Coturnix japonica: one gene and its partner. The protein of the gene in region 2 interacts with the protein of the main gene of each other region in a pairwise test. Links are inferred from orthologs where the notes say so. Each region holds a gene or a part of one and is shown on either strand. Other genes may lie near its edges. The genes, in order: CLOCK and ARNTL2.

Evidence for each region.
Region 1: the proteins of ARNTL2 (region 2) and CLOCK interact in binary tests that used the Homo sapiens proteins (3 or more experiments, as listed by UniProt). The link is inferred for Coturnix japonica from reciprocal best matches to the Homo sapiens genes BMAL2 and CLOCK.

What each region holds. Positions count from the first base shown.
Region 1 is NC_029519.1:58,679,164-58,689,134, reverse strand, and holds the start of CLOCK (circadian locomoter output cycles protein kaput), read right to left. Parts: upstream 5,118-9,971; 5' UTR 793-5,117; intron 1-792. UniProt on the Homo sapiens protein: Transcriptional activator which forms a core component of the circadian clock.
Region 2 is NC_029516.1:62,639,300-62,648,829, reverse strand, and holds part of ARNTL2 (aryl hydrocarbon receptor nuclear translocator-like protein 2), read right to left. Parts: intron 9,193-9,530; coding exon 9,035-9,192; intron 6,600-9,034; coding exon of another isoform or gene 6,589-6,599; coding exon 6,509-6,588; intron 5,755-6,508; coding exon 5,662-5,754; intron 4,208-5,661; coding exon 4,090-4,207; intron 3,289-4,089; coding exon 3,145-3,288; intron 1,580-3,144; coding exon 1,339-1,579; intron 485-1,338; coding exon 378-484; intron 1-377. UniProt on the Homo sapiens protein: Transcriptional activator which forms a core component of the circadian clock.

The DNA of each region.
Region 1 (9,971 bases), on a different chromosome or scaffold from region 2:
AAGACAGGCACAAAGTCTGATACATTTAAGTAGATCTGTATTTCTTGAAGGGATTTTTTAATTTATTTATTTTTTCCTTTTTAATTGACAGAGTCACCGTAAAAGTTTAACAGTAATACCCAGCCACTCACAAAAGGAACCCCAGACTATCTGCCTGGTCTCGTGTGCTCCAATTTGCATGACCATGGATGTACAAAGCAACTGGTAAACATACTGCATGACAAGACATGAATGAATCTTGCAGAGATGAAAATCTGCACCTCCTGGCCCATCTTCAGCTGGATAGAACAGAGCACCAAATCAAGGCAGTGGGGAGATGCAACCCTCTCAGAAACACGATTACAAATGAACAGAAGGATTGCTAATTGGAACCTATTAAGGTGCATTTGTTTGCTTTGTATGTAGTTGTATATTCATGGAGTATCATTACCACTTTAACAAGAGCATCTGTGAAAGAAGGCCCCAAAAGCTGTGAGCATAGCCTGGGAGAGACACTAATTCAGGCTCCTAAAGCAGCAGGGCCACATTAGCATATGTCACTGCTAAGGATGGTGCCATCATGGGTTGCTTCTTTTCCTTCTGGTTTCTCAGGCACAACTGTTTTATTCTATGCTCCTATCTACAGGATGAGAGCTTATTAAAAGCTTATTTGAAGTATATTCTGCCACCCACACAACATTAATTTCAATCTCAAATTGAAGGGAAATGTCTACCTTGCCTGAGGTTGAAAAAAAAAAGATGCTTCTGTTTAAAGCAGTACTGTTTTAGCAGCAATAAAATCTACATACTTACTTAAATTACCTAGAAATCCATTATGCCTTGAAAAGTGGGTGGATAGCTTTAGTAGTCCAAATGTGATGTCATCTGAGCAAAAGTCTTTTTTGGCACAGTGTTCTGAAAAGCAAAACAAAAAAACAGCTCTATGAAAATGAATCTGTTTGAAACAACTTGTGGATGAGCCCTTGATTGCTGCCCCGTTTCATCTGCTGCTATTATGGTCACTTTAGTTCTAGCCCTAAAGAGTTCACAACTTCACACCCCAACTCTATACTCAACAAAATTAGAGTGTCCATGAGAACTTCAGATGTACATATCCCTCCTTTTACTCAGCTCTAAAGTCTGAACTTCCTTCAGGCTGAAGACCAAACCTGCGGCCTAACACAACGGCCTGAGGGTAGCACCACAGTTACAGTTCTAACAGCGCCTACTACATGTTAACATTGTTACAACTGCTTTGCAGCAAGTTATGCCCTTCTTCCATAACACCAGTGATATACCAGCCACATTTCCAGAACCCATATACACCGATACAATCTTAACTTCGTATGAGGGTTTGGGCAGTAGGCGTGATCCACCTCAGAACACTCAGGGAACGCAGCATAGCACAGCACAGCAAAGAGCAAAAGCCATCTCCCCCTCACTGAGGACAAACTTAAGCGTCAGTGAGTTCCACTGAGTAGAACAAACCATACCCCAAATATTTATGTGAACAAACAAGCATCACTCCTACAAACAGGGATGAGCTTTATACATACGCATGCCAGAATGTGGTAACAACAGCATTGCTGACAATCATGCAGTGAACACTTGCATAAGGCAAAGTATATCTGTTAAGGAATCCATACACCTATTTCCACCGTAAACCAATTCCTTTTGACATATGTAAAAAAAAGAACTTCAAAATCCCTAATTTGTCCCCATCTTGTCCCCAGATACATACAATGCAGCTGGAAGATGTCACAATAGAGAGAGAGAATGCCAGTGACTGAAGAAGGCGATTGCAAAAGTATATTTCATTAGGCAAGTCTAATGTGAGAAGAAGGAAGGTGCTTCTAGAAGCCAGGTGTCCCACCTCAATGGTGCAGAAATGCATAAAGAAATCCACCAGCTCATTCAAAACCTGAGTGGAATGAGAGACAGTGACAGGGGAACACACATGCCTGAGTTTTCAGGCCAGTGCTGTTGATCTGCCACTCCTTTTGAAAGCTATTGAAATCAAGAGCTGAATGTCAGGGTGGGGCAGGGGGTAAGGGAAAGTCTTAGCACTAGGATGTGTGTCCCAGCTTTCCTGCCAAACCGATCAAACCAGCACATTTCCCCAGCCCTTTCCCTGTCTCTTTCTATTTTTTTCCTCTTTTTTCCTCTTCATAAAAGCCATAATTTAAACGTTTCCTCTGTTTTTCCTCTCTCCATTTCCTACCACATCCCCATTCATCTTCATCTTGATTCAGCCCACTCTTCTGATGTTGTTATGCTTTCCAAATCCTGCTCAGTAAAATATTTTCCCTCTATTCCTTCAAATCTCTCTACTATTTGGATTTGCTTTATGCTACCTTCTGCCTCTATACTCCCACCTTTTTACACACTGGTCTACCTTACTCTGTACATAGCAATTACAACTTGTTTAAGTTGCTTGCTATGACTAACATTCATTTGAATCCTTGTCCCCTTTTCTTAGCTCATTCTCCTCATTTTCTATATCAGTGGCACTTAGATCACAAGCTCCTTGAGGCTCAAACTGTGTCTTTACCTGGGAAACATCACGTAAACCTTTAGCGCAGCACAAAATGTTTAATACTGCTAGGCTGGCAATATATATATATATAAATATACATATACAATCTGAAAAGAAACCCTCAAAACAACAAAAATATTCTCACCTGAAAATCTGCATGTATTGCTGATGGATAATGAAATGTATTTTAAGCAAGGTTACTGAAATAACAAGCTATCATTGAAAGTAGCACACAAGTTCCAAACTACTTTCACCCTCAGCCACACGCTTGCTAACAGCAGCCTGATTACATATAATGAATGTTGCTGCAGCGGATGGCAAGAAAAGCTTTATTAAATCATATTACCTCATTAAAATTGACAGCGAGGAAAGCGTGTGAATAGGGGGAGAATGTGCATTCCTACTCTGACAGTTCTTGGAAGCCATGATTCATGCTGCTACTTGCTTTTCTATGCACAGACAGAAGAGAAGCTGGTTTACTTCAGAATACTTGTTACTACGAAAACTACTTTAAAACAAGCACAAGTCAAAGCCGTGTAGCTATTTTACATCTACTACAGTACTTCATAACTGACATATTGTAATAAGCTGCATCCTACAAAATTTGTAAACATTCTATCCGTAACAGAGGTTTGAAAAGAATATCTGGTATTACTGAGCAGAGACTTGTCCAGGAGTTAAAAACAAGCTAGTGAAGTTTTCTTCACTTTCCCCCCCACTTCCACTAAGCCTGACAGAAATTCCTGTAGACCCACCACCACAAAGGACAAAACACTCCACTGAGACTAAAGAGAATCTTGCAAGTTGATCACAGTGCTATGAACTTCAGTACCTATGTTATTACCTAATCCTGATGAGGACAATAATTCATCAGTTAATGATCAGAATATGCAGTAATGGGCAGTAGGGCACAGCTCCTACAGCTCTGCCTTTCATCAGCCCCACAGTAACAAGGCAGCCTACAACCAGTCACCTCCTGCACAGCAGAGACCTGCACACGCTGAAAAGCAAATCAGAGCCAAACTCACAGCACGGCGTCTCTCTCTCTCTCAAGAAAGGGAACTGACAGGTTTCTCTCTACCCAGTTTGTTTGCCTTCCCCAAAACTGTAGGAATGTGACACTCTGAGATCTCTATCCCTCCTACAAACACGGTTGCAAGTGTCCTGTGACTACAAAAGCTATTGGCAAATATGTAAGGAAAGAATGAGGGGAAAAAAGGGATAAACAGTATCAATCACTTTCTGTAGGAAATCGGGCCTAAAAGAAAAACAAAAAGCCACCTCCCCTGTTGCTTGTTCCCTGAGCCAAGCAGATTTAGGTGAAGCGCTTCCTGATTTCTCACATCTTCACATTTATGTTTCAAATACAAAACACACCCCTAGAGGACTAAGGGCTGGAAAAGTCCCCTCAAGTACCACCACCATTTCTCCCCATAACACAGCCTGAAGCTTCTGGATGACCAAGGAAAACCAGCCTGAGCCTCCGGCATTTCTCTAACAAGTTCCACAGGAAGAACTCCCCATCTCCCACCTGCCCACAGCAGCGTGAGTTTACCCTCTCAGAATCCACAACCACCTTCCTGCAGGCAGTCGCTGAGCTGCTGGAACATGAGTCTTCCACAACAGCTTTGTCAGAATGCGTGTGAGTAACATCCACTACTCAAAAGACCAACACCAGTCTCTGATGTTGTATTAAACATGCAGTGAAACAGCCACCAAAAACACCAAATACTCTTAAATGCCAGCAACTAATATTTACTACACCAATAAAAGCTTTTATCATCCTGGATGCACTTCACAAAGTGTACAAACAGTAACATGTTTTATTTACTGCAGAAGCAGCAGCAGAATCCTTGGAAGTGGAAATGTGAGGTTAGATATGTTAATGCCATTTATTTTACAGTGTTCTTTCTTCCTTATCGTGCATCTTACTACCTCATACTCAAATATTTTCCAAGATAATCATTTAATATGTAAAATTGTACTTTTCTTCTCATATTTTTGTTAAGGCACATGAAGAAATGCGCACATTATCATTCCTCTTTCTTCCAAGGCCATTTGTTCCAGGGCTGTCCCCAATACATTCACAACCACTTCCTGATGGCACTCACGAGGCAGTGCTGGAACCTTCTGGATAACTGTCAGGTCAGCAGTTAATGGGATGCTCATGGGATCAAAGATCACATACTTAGGCAGCTGCATGCTAAAATCTTTTAGATTTGACCTATAATGCCAGTATTACATCATAAACAATAATGTACCGTAGTATTAAACACCTAAAAGTTAGATACGGCACTGGATGACAAGCCCATTCCCAAGCATTCCTCTTCCAAGTGTCCCACAGCTCTACTACTACCACAAGGTGTTAGTAATTCAGTTCTAACATCCAACCTGAACCCTCCCCGTGGCACAACTTAAAGCTGTTACTTCTCATCCTGTCACTGTTACCTGGCAGAAGAGGCTGACCCCCAACTCACTACAACCTCCTTTCAAGTAGCTGTAATAGAAACAAGCACCAAAGCCAGGGACAGCTGCATTGCTCAGCAATCACAGAATCGAATCACAGAATTGTAGGGGTTGGAAGGGACCTCTAGAGATCATCGAGTCCAACCCCCCTGCCAAAGCAGGCTCCCTGCACCATGTCACACAGGTAGGCGTCCAGGTGGGTCTTGAATATCTCCTGAGAAGGAGACTCCACCACCTCCCTGGGCAGCCAAATACTTCTAAAAAAGTTAGTAGATACACAAACATTAAATGTAAAGTAAATACAAAACTAAGCCTCCAGCATCACCTGTTTCTGAAGGTCTACAACACTGGTAAGGTTAGTACTCACAATACTGATGTATATAGCTAAGCTTTTCCCATCAAGACACACCAGAGAGGGGGAAAATAAACGTTCTCATTTTTGTCCAGCAGCAGTTACAGCACCATAAGCCAGAACAGAGAAATCACAGGCACGGCCTCACTGCAGATTCCACACTGTGCTGGAAGCTGGATCAACTCCTGACCTCTCTCCTTCCAGCATCAGTCCTCAGAGCAAGTGAGAAGCACTGAGAAGCAAAAGGCTGGGCAGAACTGAACCAGCAGCACGCAGACCTCTCTGGGTCCCAACGGGACAGAGAAGAGTTCTGGTTCCCATTCCCTAATGACATTTAAAGTTCTATACGGAAGAAAAGACTGAAGAGCTCTTGGAAGAGGCCACAAAACAGCTGCCCATCACTTTCACCTCCAGCTCCAAGAAAACAAGCACTGTAGCGTTTTTCTTTTGCCCAATTAAACTTTAATCGCCTCGTATGCAGTGAAAAGTGGATTTTTAGTGTTTGGGTTTTTCATTGTTGCTGGGAGCATCTGAGTTTTGTGGTTTTTTTGGAAGGAGACATCAAAAAAACCTCTACCCCGTCCCTCCTTTGTGCTTCTGAACAAAAGGGAGAGTCACCAGATTGGCCCGAGTCCAGTCCCGTAGGTGTGACTCAGGTGCGGTTTGAACATGCCTTCCGACAAGTGAGTGCCTCATTTACAGATTGCCTAATTTATGAATACTAAACAGGCGGAGGTGCCAAGATGCTCCGTTTTGACAAGAGCACGGAGGAGCTGAGTGAGAACAAAGCTTCAAGGTGCCCAGATAACTTTTACAGAGAGCTGTAAAAACACAACCAACATATGGCTAAAAGTTTAGTCTGGGGAAAAGGAGGCTGAGGGGAGACCTTACTGCCCTCTTCCAGTACCTGAAAGGTTCTTACAGTGAGAGTGGGGCAGGTCTCTTCTCACTAGTGACAAGTGACAGGACGAGGAGAAATGGCCTCAAGTTGCGCCACGGCAAATTTAGGTTGGATATTAGGAAGAACTTCTTTACAGAAAGGGTAGTTAGGTACTGGAATAGGCTCCCCAGGGATGTGGTTGAATCGTCATCCCTGATTGTGTTTAAGAGCCGTTTGGATGTGGTGCTCAGGGATATGATTTAGTGTAGGGTTGTTAGAGTTAGGGTACTGGTTAGGCTGTGGTTGGACTTGACGATCTTCAAGGTCTTTTCCAACCTGGGTAATTCTCTGATTCTATAAGTTCATCCTGGACTAAATATTCAGAACCCACCTTAAATCACAGTTCTGACTCCTCTCTATTCCTTCTGGATCTGGCCACATACCAAAATAACATGCATCAAAACCTCCTCAGAAACACCTGCAAATATCTTTTTACACCTACAGAGCCTCACAATGTTTATATTTCAGTATTTATGTTTAAATACACTTAAAAAAGATCTTTCACTAAGAACTGTCTCATTCTGTTTTAACATATGGATATTACTCCAACGCCATTTGTCCTGTGGTTGCAGGCTGTCATAATCAGGTTTTAGCTCTAGAACTTGAAGCTTTCTCACACAGAGATTATTAAACACTACTACAAGAACAAAGTATTTGTCTCCACTCTTACGCCTCACTTGGATACATCTGCATTGGAAAGATGAGGAAAGCCCACAATATCCCTTAAGCTTCATAAGATTGTACCAAAAATACCAGTTCTGAATCTTAGACGATATATCAACTTCTAATGGATCTGCATTGAATAAAACATTAACGTTACTACAGATGATTTTACGATACGCTCAGCATTGCTCCTCAGAACATCACTGCACAGTAAGAAAACTTATTCAGTGATTTTAATGACCAAATGTAACAGCTGGAAAGAGTCCAATGTGAGCAAACAGTAAAGTGACAAAAGACTCTACAAACAAAGTCATGTTGCTTCTGCTTAGTATTAAGTACATGGGAACTGCAAAGCACCAAAACTTTTGAAAGATACGATTACATATTCTGAAAGCAGCTGTATTTAAGAATTCATATTATACACTTAAAACTACGGTAAAAGAATATTAAAGCCATAAAATTAAACACTCAGGCATGAGGTTTGCCCAAATTAAAGCAGCCTTCACATTACAAAGGCATTTTGTGGCAGCAGTATGGGCTGAGAATTCAATCCTTCAGGGCAGCAGGCAGCTGCATTAACCATGAGTCTTCTTCCTCTCCCATCACTTTGCATTTCACATCTTTAACTCCCTTAAGAAACAAACTGGGGAACACCTAACAGTTTCAAACTACCTCTCAAAGCCCATTACCTGAGCTAATAAAGCACCCAGCTGCAATTTTGAGCTGCTTTCCCTAGCTAGACCACGCAGAAGGGCATGAGAGATCACAGAATCACAGAATGACCCGGGTTGGAAGGGACCTCAAGGATCATGTAGTTCCAACCCCCCTGCCTAGCAGGGCCACCAAACATACACCTTTACTAGATCAGGTTGCCCAGGGCCCCGTCCAACCTGGTCTTGAACACCTCCAAGGACGGGGCATCCACAACCTCCCTGGGCAGCCTGTTCCAGGGCCTAACCACTCTCCTAGGGAAGAACTTCCCTCTAACATCCAACCTAAATCTTCCCTCTTTTAACTTAAAACCATTTCCCCGTGTCCTGCCATTGTCAGCCCTTTCGAAGAGTTTACTCCCCTCCTGGGAGTAAGTTCCCTTCAGGTATTGAAAGGCTGCAATGAGGTCACTCTGCAGCCTTCTCTTCTCCAGGCTGAACAAGCCCAGCTCCCTCAGCCTGTCCTCATAGTGGAGGTGCTCCAGCCCCCTGATCATCTTTGTGGCCCTCCTCTGGACCCTTTCCAAAATCTCTATGTCTTTATCCTCCCAATAGGAATGGCTGTATCCCCCTCTGCCAGCATTACACTGAGGCACCGTAATCTTTCACTTCAGGTTCTGCTGCATGACCAAAGACGCACTTCTTACACCTCCTATTCTGAAGCACTACTGAATTCAGAACCCAGAGGGTGATATTTCCACTGCTGATTTATTAATATTCCCTCCAGAGCTTGACTAGGGCCAAAAAGCAGCAAAAGCTCAAAGCTTTTAAAAGCAGCGATTTCCTCAACAAGGCCAATCTGTGAAGATTTACGATTTCAGTGAAACTCTGTGCTAACAAGATAATTAACCAACACTACAAATTAAAGTAATTACCGCTCCGTTTTTATATTGTTGAGCATAAAAAGTCAGATTAGTTACAGGAGGGAGCTTTTATGAGCTCTTTCAAGCGTTTAAAAAGAAATACTGCTTTACTCATATCCTTTATTTTACCTATGTTAGTTAAACTCTTTGATGTAAGAATACAATGCAGAATAATTAAGGAACAAGGCATGTCTGAATAACATCTTAAAGTATCAAACACCAAACCTGGGAGGCTTGTGGGTTGTTTTATCTAAACCACGTGGACTGTTTCTTAAAGACAGAACTGCTGACAAAATTCTCGCCCCTTCCCATCACAGTCCCTCATATTCAACCTAAAACCCCAACACAAACATTCAGTATTTTATCTATCTGAAAGCAACGCCTTTAATGCTCTTAACGAGGGACCTCGAATGGATGCATGCATGAAAATCAGTAGCAAGATTTGCAAAACATCCCGTCTATCAAGTAGAATTTCCCTATTAAAACAATCAAATGCTGCCTGATTTCACACTCGCAGATACCCACAGATAAAGCCAGTTTTACTCCCGTATGGTATGATATGATATAAGCGTGACCCAGCTGCTCACACAGCCCTGCCAGGACTGCCTGGGTCACGCTGTATTTCTCAAGCACTCCTCTCACTAGCGCATTTGCCCTAACAATCCTCTTGCCTTCTGGCACACCTGTCACCCAAAGCAATGAGCGAGGTTAAATATAACCACATAAAAAAAAAAAAAAAAAAAAAAAAAAAAAAGGTGGTTAATTTTAACAGGGATCACTCCCGGCCTTTTGCGGGATGCAGCTCCACGCAGCGCGGTGCAAGGCAGGGTTGAGGGCAGCGGGAATGTGTTCAGAGGAGGGCTACGAAGCTGGTGAGGGGTCTGGAGCACAGGCCTTATGAGGAGCGACTGAGGGAGCTGGGATTGTTCAGCCTGGAGAAGAGGAGGCTCAGGGGAGACCTTATAGCTCTCTATAACTTGCTCAAGGGGGGTTGTAGTGAGCTGGGGGCTGGCCTCTTCTCTCGTGTAATCAGTGATAGAACTAGAGGGAATGGTTTTAAGCTGCACCAAGGGGAGATTCAGGCTGGACTTAGGAAGTATTACTTTTCGAAAGAGTAGTCAGGCATTGGAATGCATGCGCAGGGAGGTGGTGGAGTCACCAACCATGGGAGTGTTCAAGAAACGCTTGGATGTGGTGCTGAGGATAATGATTTAGCCTGGAAGTATTGGTAATGGTTGGACTAGATGATCTTCTAGGTCTTTTCCAATCATGATAATTCTGTGATTCTGTGGGACAGCAGGGCCCGCAGCGCCGCTGGTCACCCCGTGCCATCAGAGCACACTCACTGTCAGGCTTTAGGGGATCGCTGTCTGTGCTCGGCCCCTGTGCTCCTTCGCACCTCCGCGCGTCCCAGCGCAGCTGCGCCTCGCTTTCCTTCTGCCACTCCGAAGGTCAACGTTCA
Region 2 (9,530 bases):
TACTAATCTCAAATGAGAGCCCATGCACTAAGTTTCTGCAGACAACTAACAGGAAGACCCCTGATTTGGTGAAGTTTCATCAACAGTGTCTTTTTAGGCACATTTGCTCTTCAGGACTCCTTTATTCTTATAAAGAAGAACTGAGGCATGGGGTCAAAAGAAGCATTATTGCCCAGCACTGCACCAAGACCCAAGACAACCGAAGATTGCCTTGACAAGATTCGTCACAACAGACAAGAAACCCCCTGGTTTTCTTACACACTTTCTGAGGGCATGTCTTAATGCATACATGGAAAGGGACAATGCTAACACTGTTTAACTTCGTTATTTCCCAGCTTCTAATTTTATATAGCCTGGGAGAACCAATCGTTTTGTACCTTCTTTATGTTTCTCAGCTAGATGATTGTGATCGTCTTGATGACAGTACTCGTAACAAGAAGTTCCTAGAAGCTCTTGTGGCAGATACCCTAAAATTGCTGTTGCACTGTTAGAAATAAAAAGATGAACAGCGGTGGATTCAGACAATTGCAAAGCTAGTTTTCTTCAGTATCAGGTGAAGCAAAAAATGAATATTTAATAAAATAGATGCTTACTTTCACATTTAAGAAAAGATACAGCGTTAGGATAGCTCTAAAATAATAGCAAATATAGACTGCAGTTTACCTTGGATCTGTTTGCAATGTATAATACAGGATAACAAAACTGTGTAAGAGTATCAATTCAAACACAGAATAACAGTGTTTGAAAATGCAAACCATTTGTATGCACAATTTAAATGAACACAAAGTACATATGATTATTAGCTCTTCCAATTAGGCAATCAAAGTACCAAACCCACTTAATGAGTCATTTGAAAAAAATAATAGTTAAATTTTGCTCTAAGGAATAAGTTTGAACCGACACTTTTAGATATGAGATGAGATAAAATGTATTTGCTCCAAATACTAAGATATAAATAAGCAGTCATTTTTTTGTGAAGGGCTTATTATTTTTTTTTTCTCTGTCAGCATAACTTATAAACAAATAAGTCACATGTATAGCTATGCTACTCTAACTCAAAATTTTTTATTGTGTTAATATATAGTATACAAGAGTATCCTATGATGCATTTTCATCTTGCGAACCTACACTTTCCTAAAGGACAATACACTTATTTTGCTACATAAATTATATTTTATTTTTAACAGAATGAAGTCCAAGGACTCAGATTCATGACACAGCTCTTCAGCATCCCGAAATCCTAACATGCTTAAAAAAATTGCAGTCCCTTCAGTCAGAAAAGTTCACAAGACCTAACCAAGTCATGTCGTTTTCTCTTCGTTAAAGAAGAAAACTTACCGCTGATCTACATAAACAAATTTTCCATCCATGGCAAATCGTGTTACAAATTCTGTTGCTTTGACTTTTATCTCTCCACTCTTTTGTGGAACAATGTAAGGGTGTAACCTCCCAATTGCAACAAGACAGTTAAAATTACTACTGTTCTTTTCTACATCATTTTCCTCTTCTACTCCCACCTCGCTAGGAGGCCAGTTCTTCATATATCCAGTACAGTGAATGGTACAATACTTTCTGTGATCTAATAAAAAGAAATAAAATAAGCAATTATGGTTCAAAATGTAATTAAAAAAATCTTTCACCATAAGACCAACAATCCTATTTTATGCATACTTACTACAACTGTAAAAGGCTATGGATAATGTCACAGCGTGCTTTTGAAGTAAATTTTTACTACTTAATTTTGGCTTACCTGAAGAGAGTGCTCCTAACCCTATGTAAGACTTGGGAAGATAAATTATAGGCATTGACAGTGTAGTATCAAAGGGAAAAAAAACCAAAACCAACAATAGAACAACAGCTTAGTAACCCACTGTTTCTCCTTTACATGTTTCCTTATGTGTTGTAAATCACAATAAACTAAATAAATTGATTTGGAAGCTACAGAATGTTTATCTTAAGTGAACACTATGATTCTACATATTTTTGCTGCAATTACTAAAAGAATCCATGAAGAGAGCACCCCAAAATAACCCAAATTACTTTCCACTTATCTCAGACTTCTGAATTCCTCAATTTTTACAGGAACATAAATATTAAAGAACATTTAATTTAAGCATACGCGATAATCCCTTTCTATGACTGGTAGAAACTTACTTATACAATATCCCACTAACCTCAACATACAGAGATTATGTATCCTACAGTTACTGTCTTCCCCCCAAACTGGCAAAGCAATCTTATTTTACCAAAGTATGATTGACATAGATTTGACTGCATTAACTCTCAACTATGGAAAATATCAATCAACCCTGTCAAATGAAAAATTGAGTTACCCTTCTGAAACTGCTAGTTTCCCAAACTTTTAATGCGATCTCTCTGAATGCTGCTTGCCTGAAAGCACGTTTGTAAGAGATAAATTCTACTCTCACCAAGTTAGCTGACACATCAAGGGAGATGGACAGAATTCTTCTGACTTACAATGACAGACCCATTTTAGAATGTGTTCTTTTATGATGTATCTCAACAGCAGCAGGTTAAATTAAAATAAAAAAGAAGGAAGATTCTTTCAAGATCAGAAAGAAAACTTGCCAAGAATATACTGCTCTACAGGTATACCAAACTAAATTAAAACTACGGACTAAATTAAAGACATTGGAGAAACACTGATATTACACTGATAAATTAACTTTACTATTAAAAAAATGCAAAAATGGAAAGGTATAATTCGTAAGTACACACAATACAAAACGTAAATCAGATAAAGATTTTACTTGCTTTTTTTCCTCCAAAACAGCAGACTTTGCAGGCCTTATTCATATAGTTATCTTCAAGACATATGTTATTTATCTTAACTCTTCTGATCTGCTCCAGTGCTTTCAAAAATTTGACTAGAACAGACCGTGTCTCCTAAACCAACAATGCAACCCAGGTTCCTTCCTCCCTTCCTCTTCTCAGGAGTGAATAGGGAGGAGAAAAGGACAATTAGACTGTTTTTCAGAACACGCCTGCAGTACATATTTACACTTCTCTACAGCTATTACGTGAAATCAGCGATAATTACAAGGATCACACTACTGGCTTGGAACTTAAATATACTGAATTTCAAGACAGAAAGCCCCCATTTCAGCTACACTGTTTGAATACCTTTCTTCTTTGGATTGGGTAAGCACTCCTTCTCTTCTTTGACTGTGGTCCTACTACATTTTATCCGACAGAAGAAGGATCGTCGAGCACCAGAATTCAGTCGAGCTGGTCCAGCTTGAAAATCTGTATGTACTTGCAAGCCAGCTTATAAAAATTTAGTAAAGTAGTTAATGAAAACAAAAAAAATCCAAGAATAAAACTGCTGAGCCCAAGGCCTTATCTTCAGTTTCTCATATATTCTCCTTACTGTTTAGTTACCTAAATGTTGTCCTTATAATTACAAAAGAAAAAACATCTAATAACTTTAAACAAGGCAAAGAAAATGTGGCTGCTGCACAGACTCCAAATTTAAAAAGAACTACAAAACTGAATTTAAGCTGTATTTAACATTTTGAATCATACTTTAATAAATACACTTTATCAACTTTCAACTTCTATTTGGTACATAGAGGAAGTGCAAAGATGCCTATAAAAGCCAGCTATAAGACAGTTATTAGCTGCAGAGTACAAAATGCTTTTCATATCAGAAATAACTGTAAATAGATTTGGTTAAATTAGGATTGACAGCATTTTCAGAGAAGTCAGTGATTCTTGATACTGAAGTATTTTATCCCATGTTCAACTACATCAGGTCTTTTGTAATGACAAGACCTATAAAATACTAGAAAAAAAAGTAGTATGCCTGGAAGGAAGAATGTCAGACTACAACTTGGTAAATGTTCAACAATGCTAAATTCAATCACACTTATTGCCTACAATAAGTTTTTTTTCTGTTGAACTGCAATGAATTATAAGCAGCGGATAAGCACTGAAACATGTTTTTTCATGTAAATTGTATTTCAAGCTTGTACATCCATGCACACAATTATTTCCTACATAAGAACTGACTTTATTAACATATCTTAAAAAAATAAAGAAATTTGAGTGCATTCAAATATGACTTACTTTTGCCATCTACAAGCTTTTCTCTGGGAGAGACATCTGAAGATGAAAGTTGTTCCTTAACTTTGGCAACATCTTTTGGATGCAAGTAATCAAACAAACTTTGTCCAATTAAACTGGTCTATTTAAAAAAAGAAAAAAAGAACCCCACTGTTTTAGGACAGGACACTTCATATTACAGACCTCAGAAAAACAACATTCTGCACTACTGAAAAACAAAAAACACCTTGTAAAACATCACAGTTACTATGAACTTTTATATATCAGTTTGCATTTATTTCTCCATTACTTAACATTATTTTTATCAAAAGAGGGTAGCAAAATATACAAGCTGTAACTTCCCTTTGAAAAAACAAAACTATTTAGTTGCATATTCAAGAAGATTGAGTGTTGTAAAAAAGAAAGGTGGGTTGTTTTTTTTTTTTTTTGTATGTTTACTTAACATGATTCCTGATCCTGAAGCTTATGTGCACAGATTATTTTGGGGATGGTGTGCCAAGGGAAGAAATAGAAAGAAATTAATGCTACCTATGACTCTGAGCTCTCATTTAGTTGGACAAAAGAGCATTGCTAATCAGGAGTTGATTGGAAGCTGCACAGAGCTTCTACCTCTGCATTTCTTAGTTGAAGATTTTTACAGGGATCTCCTCAGCTGGGATCCTTTCAACCTGCTTATTCTGCTGACCAAAGCTGGTCTGCTGCACTACAGTAAGCACTACTATCATCTTTTGAAACAGGAAGGAACTCTCAAAGAAGTGGGCAACCTTTTTTTTTTTTTTTTTTTCTTTTCTTTTCGATTCCTTACCAAAAAGTAGAAAGGAGCTGAGTTAATAATCTGTATTGTAGATTGAAACTTCAATTCATTTTGGACTCTTGCTGCATACAATGTGATCACTGCATAAAAGGGGAACACCTCTCCAATAAACTAGAGTCAGAAATGGACGTACTGCAAAGCTTCTAAGAAAGCAGGATAAACATTCAGCCTTTCATTTACCCAGTCTCTGTCTAATCTTAATGCAAAGCTTGCCCTTCTCTGGACATGCTCCAGGGCCTCAATGTCTTTCTTGTAGTGAGGGGCCCAAAAGTGAACGCAGTACTCAAGGTTTGGCCTCACCAGAGCTGAGTACGGGGGACGATCACCAACCAGCTCCTGATGGCTATACTAGTTCTGATACAGACCAGGATGCCATTGGCTTTCTTGCCCACCTGGGCATGCTGCTTTATAACTAATTTTCCTCAGGCTTAAAAAAAAAAAAGAAAAAAAAAAAGAAAAAAAGAAAATAATCATTTAAAGGAAATCTCTTAGGGATAAAATTAGGACATTTCAAATTATCCTTTTCCCTCAGACTTGCAATTCTACAGTATGATCAACTGAAATCCAGTTATTATTCAGGTCATGAACATTGATTGCACTTTAAAATTTTCATTCTGGGTAATTCAGCCTTAATCTGAAAGAGGTTAAACCAACAATATTCCAAGAAATTATACAAAAGAATACAATAAACCAACAAAATTTTAAAACTTCTAAATAAAAGAAATTGTAAGATAAACACAAAGAAACTCAATTATAACCACCTGATCATAATTAAGTATTTTGCAAACTGATTCTGAGACAAACAGAATTTTTCCTCTGTTACATCCAACCACAAACAGGAATCCATCCGCAGCCTGAAAATATAAAGACAGCATCTTTAAAAACTAACCATTAAAATATACAATTAATATTGATGAACAAAAGGAAGTACATTTGTATGCTTTTTATTAAATAAGTTAAAAGTCACAGCAAAAAGCAATTTAAAAAATTGCAAGGACCAAATCAGACCTTCAAATACAGACAGCTAGAGTTTCCTAAACATAGCTTTGGGAAAAAGAAAGCAGCTGCAAAACAGATTAACATGGAGTCATCTTACAGATCTTGCCAAATTGTGTTATTGCAGCAAAGGAAAAAGAAAATAGCTGCAAAAGAGAAAGGGTAAAGGGGTGTGGGCGTATGACTGCATGCAAAAACCAGAAGAAAGATTTTCTTTTAGGTATTATTTCTGCATCTTTTCCAAATTACATTGCTAAGATTTTAAATGCACAGCAAACAACTGTATTTATACGTAACTGAGATTATTATATATGCTTGCATATAGATTTCAGTATCAGTATTAAAAAACAGTTTAAGCATTAAGAATGCAGAGTGTATACAGATTTATTATCCCTTGAAGGGTTGCCATCTGCTATCTTCTGTATCTCTTCATGAAAAATCTTGTTTCCTGTACAGAGGTTATAAATCAAACCAACTAAGTGCATCAAAGCACTCGCTTGAAGAAAAAAACGTAGGGGATGCAGGGGTGGTTAGCTCACTCAAACTAAAAACCAAAGTTAACAACAAGCTTTAAAGAGGACATAATTTCACCAAGGGTTGCCTTCTACTTACCCTGAGGATTAACTGTCTGAGCTCATCATCCTTTAAAAACGAAGGTTTATACCGGACTTCTGTGTAAGAGCTAGTGGAACCTGGAAAACAGCTTATTTGTAGACATACATAGGATGTCAAAGGATACATTAAAAATTCATTTTTAACAAAATTATATTTATTATTTGGTCTTTACTTTGTAAATTCTCCTTGCAATAAAAACAGATGAATAAAAGTTTAAAGAGGTTTTTTGTTGTTTTTTTTTTGTTTTTTTTTTTTTTAAAAAAAAAGAACCAACCAAAACTCTTAAACATATGTGGATACTGAATTTGGACATACCACCAGATTTTCTCATGCCTTTATTTAGCACAAAACAAGGAAACTTCTGATCAGATATCTTCAGTATACTACTAAAGAAATGGTATTATGAGATCTGCATTATTTAGAAACACTTCACATACCTGCTCCAGAATCCTTAACATTTGCTGAAGCTGAATAATTCCTATGTTATCAGTTGCCTTCTAGCATGAATAAAGCTTCACTAATGCTATAATATATTCAGCCATCCAAACAAATCACTCCAGGTGGTTTAATTGAAAAGGTATTGTACATTTCTGCCACTACATTTACTGTCCCAGCATCTGTAGCAAATACCCTAAAATCCTTGTTAGCCATTTTAATTTATTTTTTTTTTGTGAGCATTTGCTATAATTTCATACATTATCTTATATGGTCTCAAAGCATTTGTTTTGAAGATACATATAACAACTGCACTGGATGAAACAGAGTTTTCATAATCCACTGTTAAAATAATGCTGTTTGAGATGAAGACTTTTGTTTTCATCGTCAAGATGAAGATGCATGTTTAAACGCCATGATTAGCCCGCTAATTTGTGACATTATTTATGCAAAATTCCAAGCTTCTCGGAAAAGAAGATTTTTAGGAATTCGTAGAATCCTAAGAAGAGTTGGAGGGGACCTTTAACGACCATCTAGTCCAACTCCTCTGCAATGAACAGGGACATTGACAGCTCGATCAGGCTGCTCAGAGTGCCATTCAGCCTGACCTTGAATGTCCTCACGAACATTCATCACCATCACCACTCTGGGCAACCTGTTCCAGCACCTCACTTCTTCCTTATATTCAACCTGAATCTCCCCTCTTTTAGTTTGAAATCACCCTGCTAAAGAGTCAGTGATGACTGAAAATTCCCTCCAACCTAAATTATTCTGAGTCCATTACTGTTAAGATAGACACATAATTCATTAAGACAAGGGAGATTCTTATTAGATGTTTATCCCTAATCAAATTTTTTGCAAGGCATAGCCTTTACTTACAGTTGGCTAAATTATTCTAAAATAGTATTGCCAAAAACCCTGAAATCTTACATTTAATTTGTATTTGTATATAATGTTTCTTATGGGAGAAAGAAAACCTTCAAAGCTATTCATAGCAGTAAAAGGAGATGAAAGAATATATCCTAGTTAGACCCTGATATCTACAATGGACTGTTCACTGAAATCTGTGAGTACATTGTAAGGTGACTGAGAACATAAGCATTTAATAACACTTCTTGTTTGCACTCTTTAATATTTCATAGTATTTAAGACTCAAATGTAACTGCAATCATCATCAACTATTCTTTTAAAGTTTGAAGTAATGATGTTCCTTTTGACCACAGGTAAATTTTACTTTTTTTAAATTCTTTTCTTTAGTTTAATGCCTTTTTTTGTTTGTTTTACGAAAGTACACTGGTAAACTACCCTATTAAAAAAAAAAAGTAACATTGCTGAAGCACCAACCTACGCCCCCCTACCAGTGAAACTACCTAGATAAGTAGTTAGTAGTCAGGTAAGCATTACCATGGTTTCCCATTGCTTAGAAGACATTTTTTTCTGAACCCACACTAGACAAAAAACTCATCAGAATTATTCAGTATTTCATAAGTGACCAAGCCCTCAACTTTATGCCCTTACAGAATTTTGCTGGGTTTTTATGAAAGGTCTTTATTAATGATGTACATTTTATACTCAACTAACAAACAAGAAATTCCAATACAAAAGGCTGATGCAAACCCAAAGACTGCAGTAACAAACAGAAGTATGAAGAACATTTTCCTCTCACTAGCAGTTCAGCTAGTGAAGTCAGTACAGCTGACTTCATAAACCACATGTATTACTGTTGCAGAAAGTATGAAGTGGAGACATCACAAAACATTTAATTTGAGGGTTAGAAAATAATGGAAGATGAAGCTGCTTGATCTGTGTGATTTCAAAACAGAATCAAGGAGTGACCTGATTGCAAGGCATCGCCTTAGCAAACAAGATAGCCAACACTTTGTGTTGTTTAGTATACCAGAAAGAAAAGCCAAAATGAAGCAAAATTCTAGAAACTACAAGCATATCAAATTAAATTAAAATAGACTCAGAATGGAATTCAGCAAGTAAACAGAACAGATGACCTTAGATGTATCTGCCATCAAAGAAAATATGTAGTATATCTCCTGACAGAATAAGGACTTTAAGTATTAGTTTCCTAAAACCTACCTTTTAAAGATTTTAAGTGTTGCACTGCCATCCGTAATACTGTAAGCTTGTCTAGTTTTCGTGCCATAGGATTGCATTGAGGTATCATAGCAGACAATTCCTCTATCAAATTATTCATTTTGTCTCTTCTTCGTTTCTCTGTTTGACTGTGAGCCTCTCTAAGAAGAAAAATTATTTTAAGAAAGATGTGAAATATACGATTTTCCCTACACTACTTATTAATTTCGCTTTGGGAATGTAACATATCACAAGAACAATTCCTGCATTTAAATTATTTTTCATACACCACTTCTATTTGACAACTGAATTGGATTCATTTGATCAAAGTAGCAATGATCACAATATTTACATGAAATACTGAGAAAAATCTATAAAGTAACAACTTGGAGTCACTGAATCATACTTCACAGCAACTTGATTATTTGTGGCAGAAAAAAGACACCATGAAAAATTACAAAACTGAAATTCTTCATGTGACCCTTGAAGCCAAGCAAAT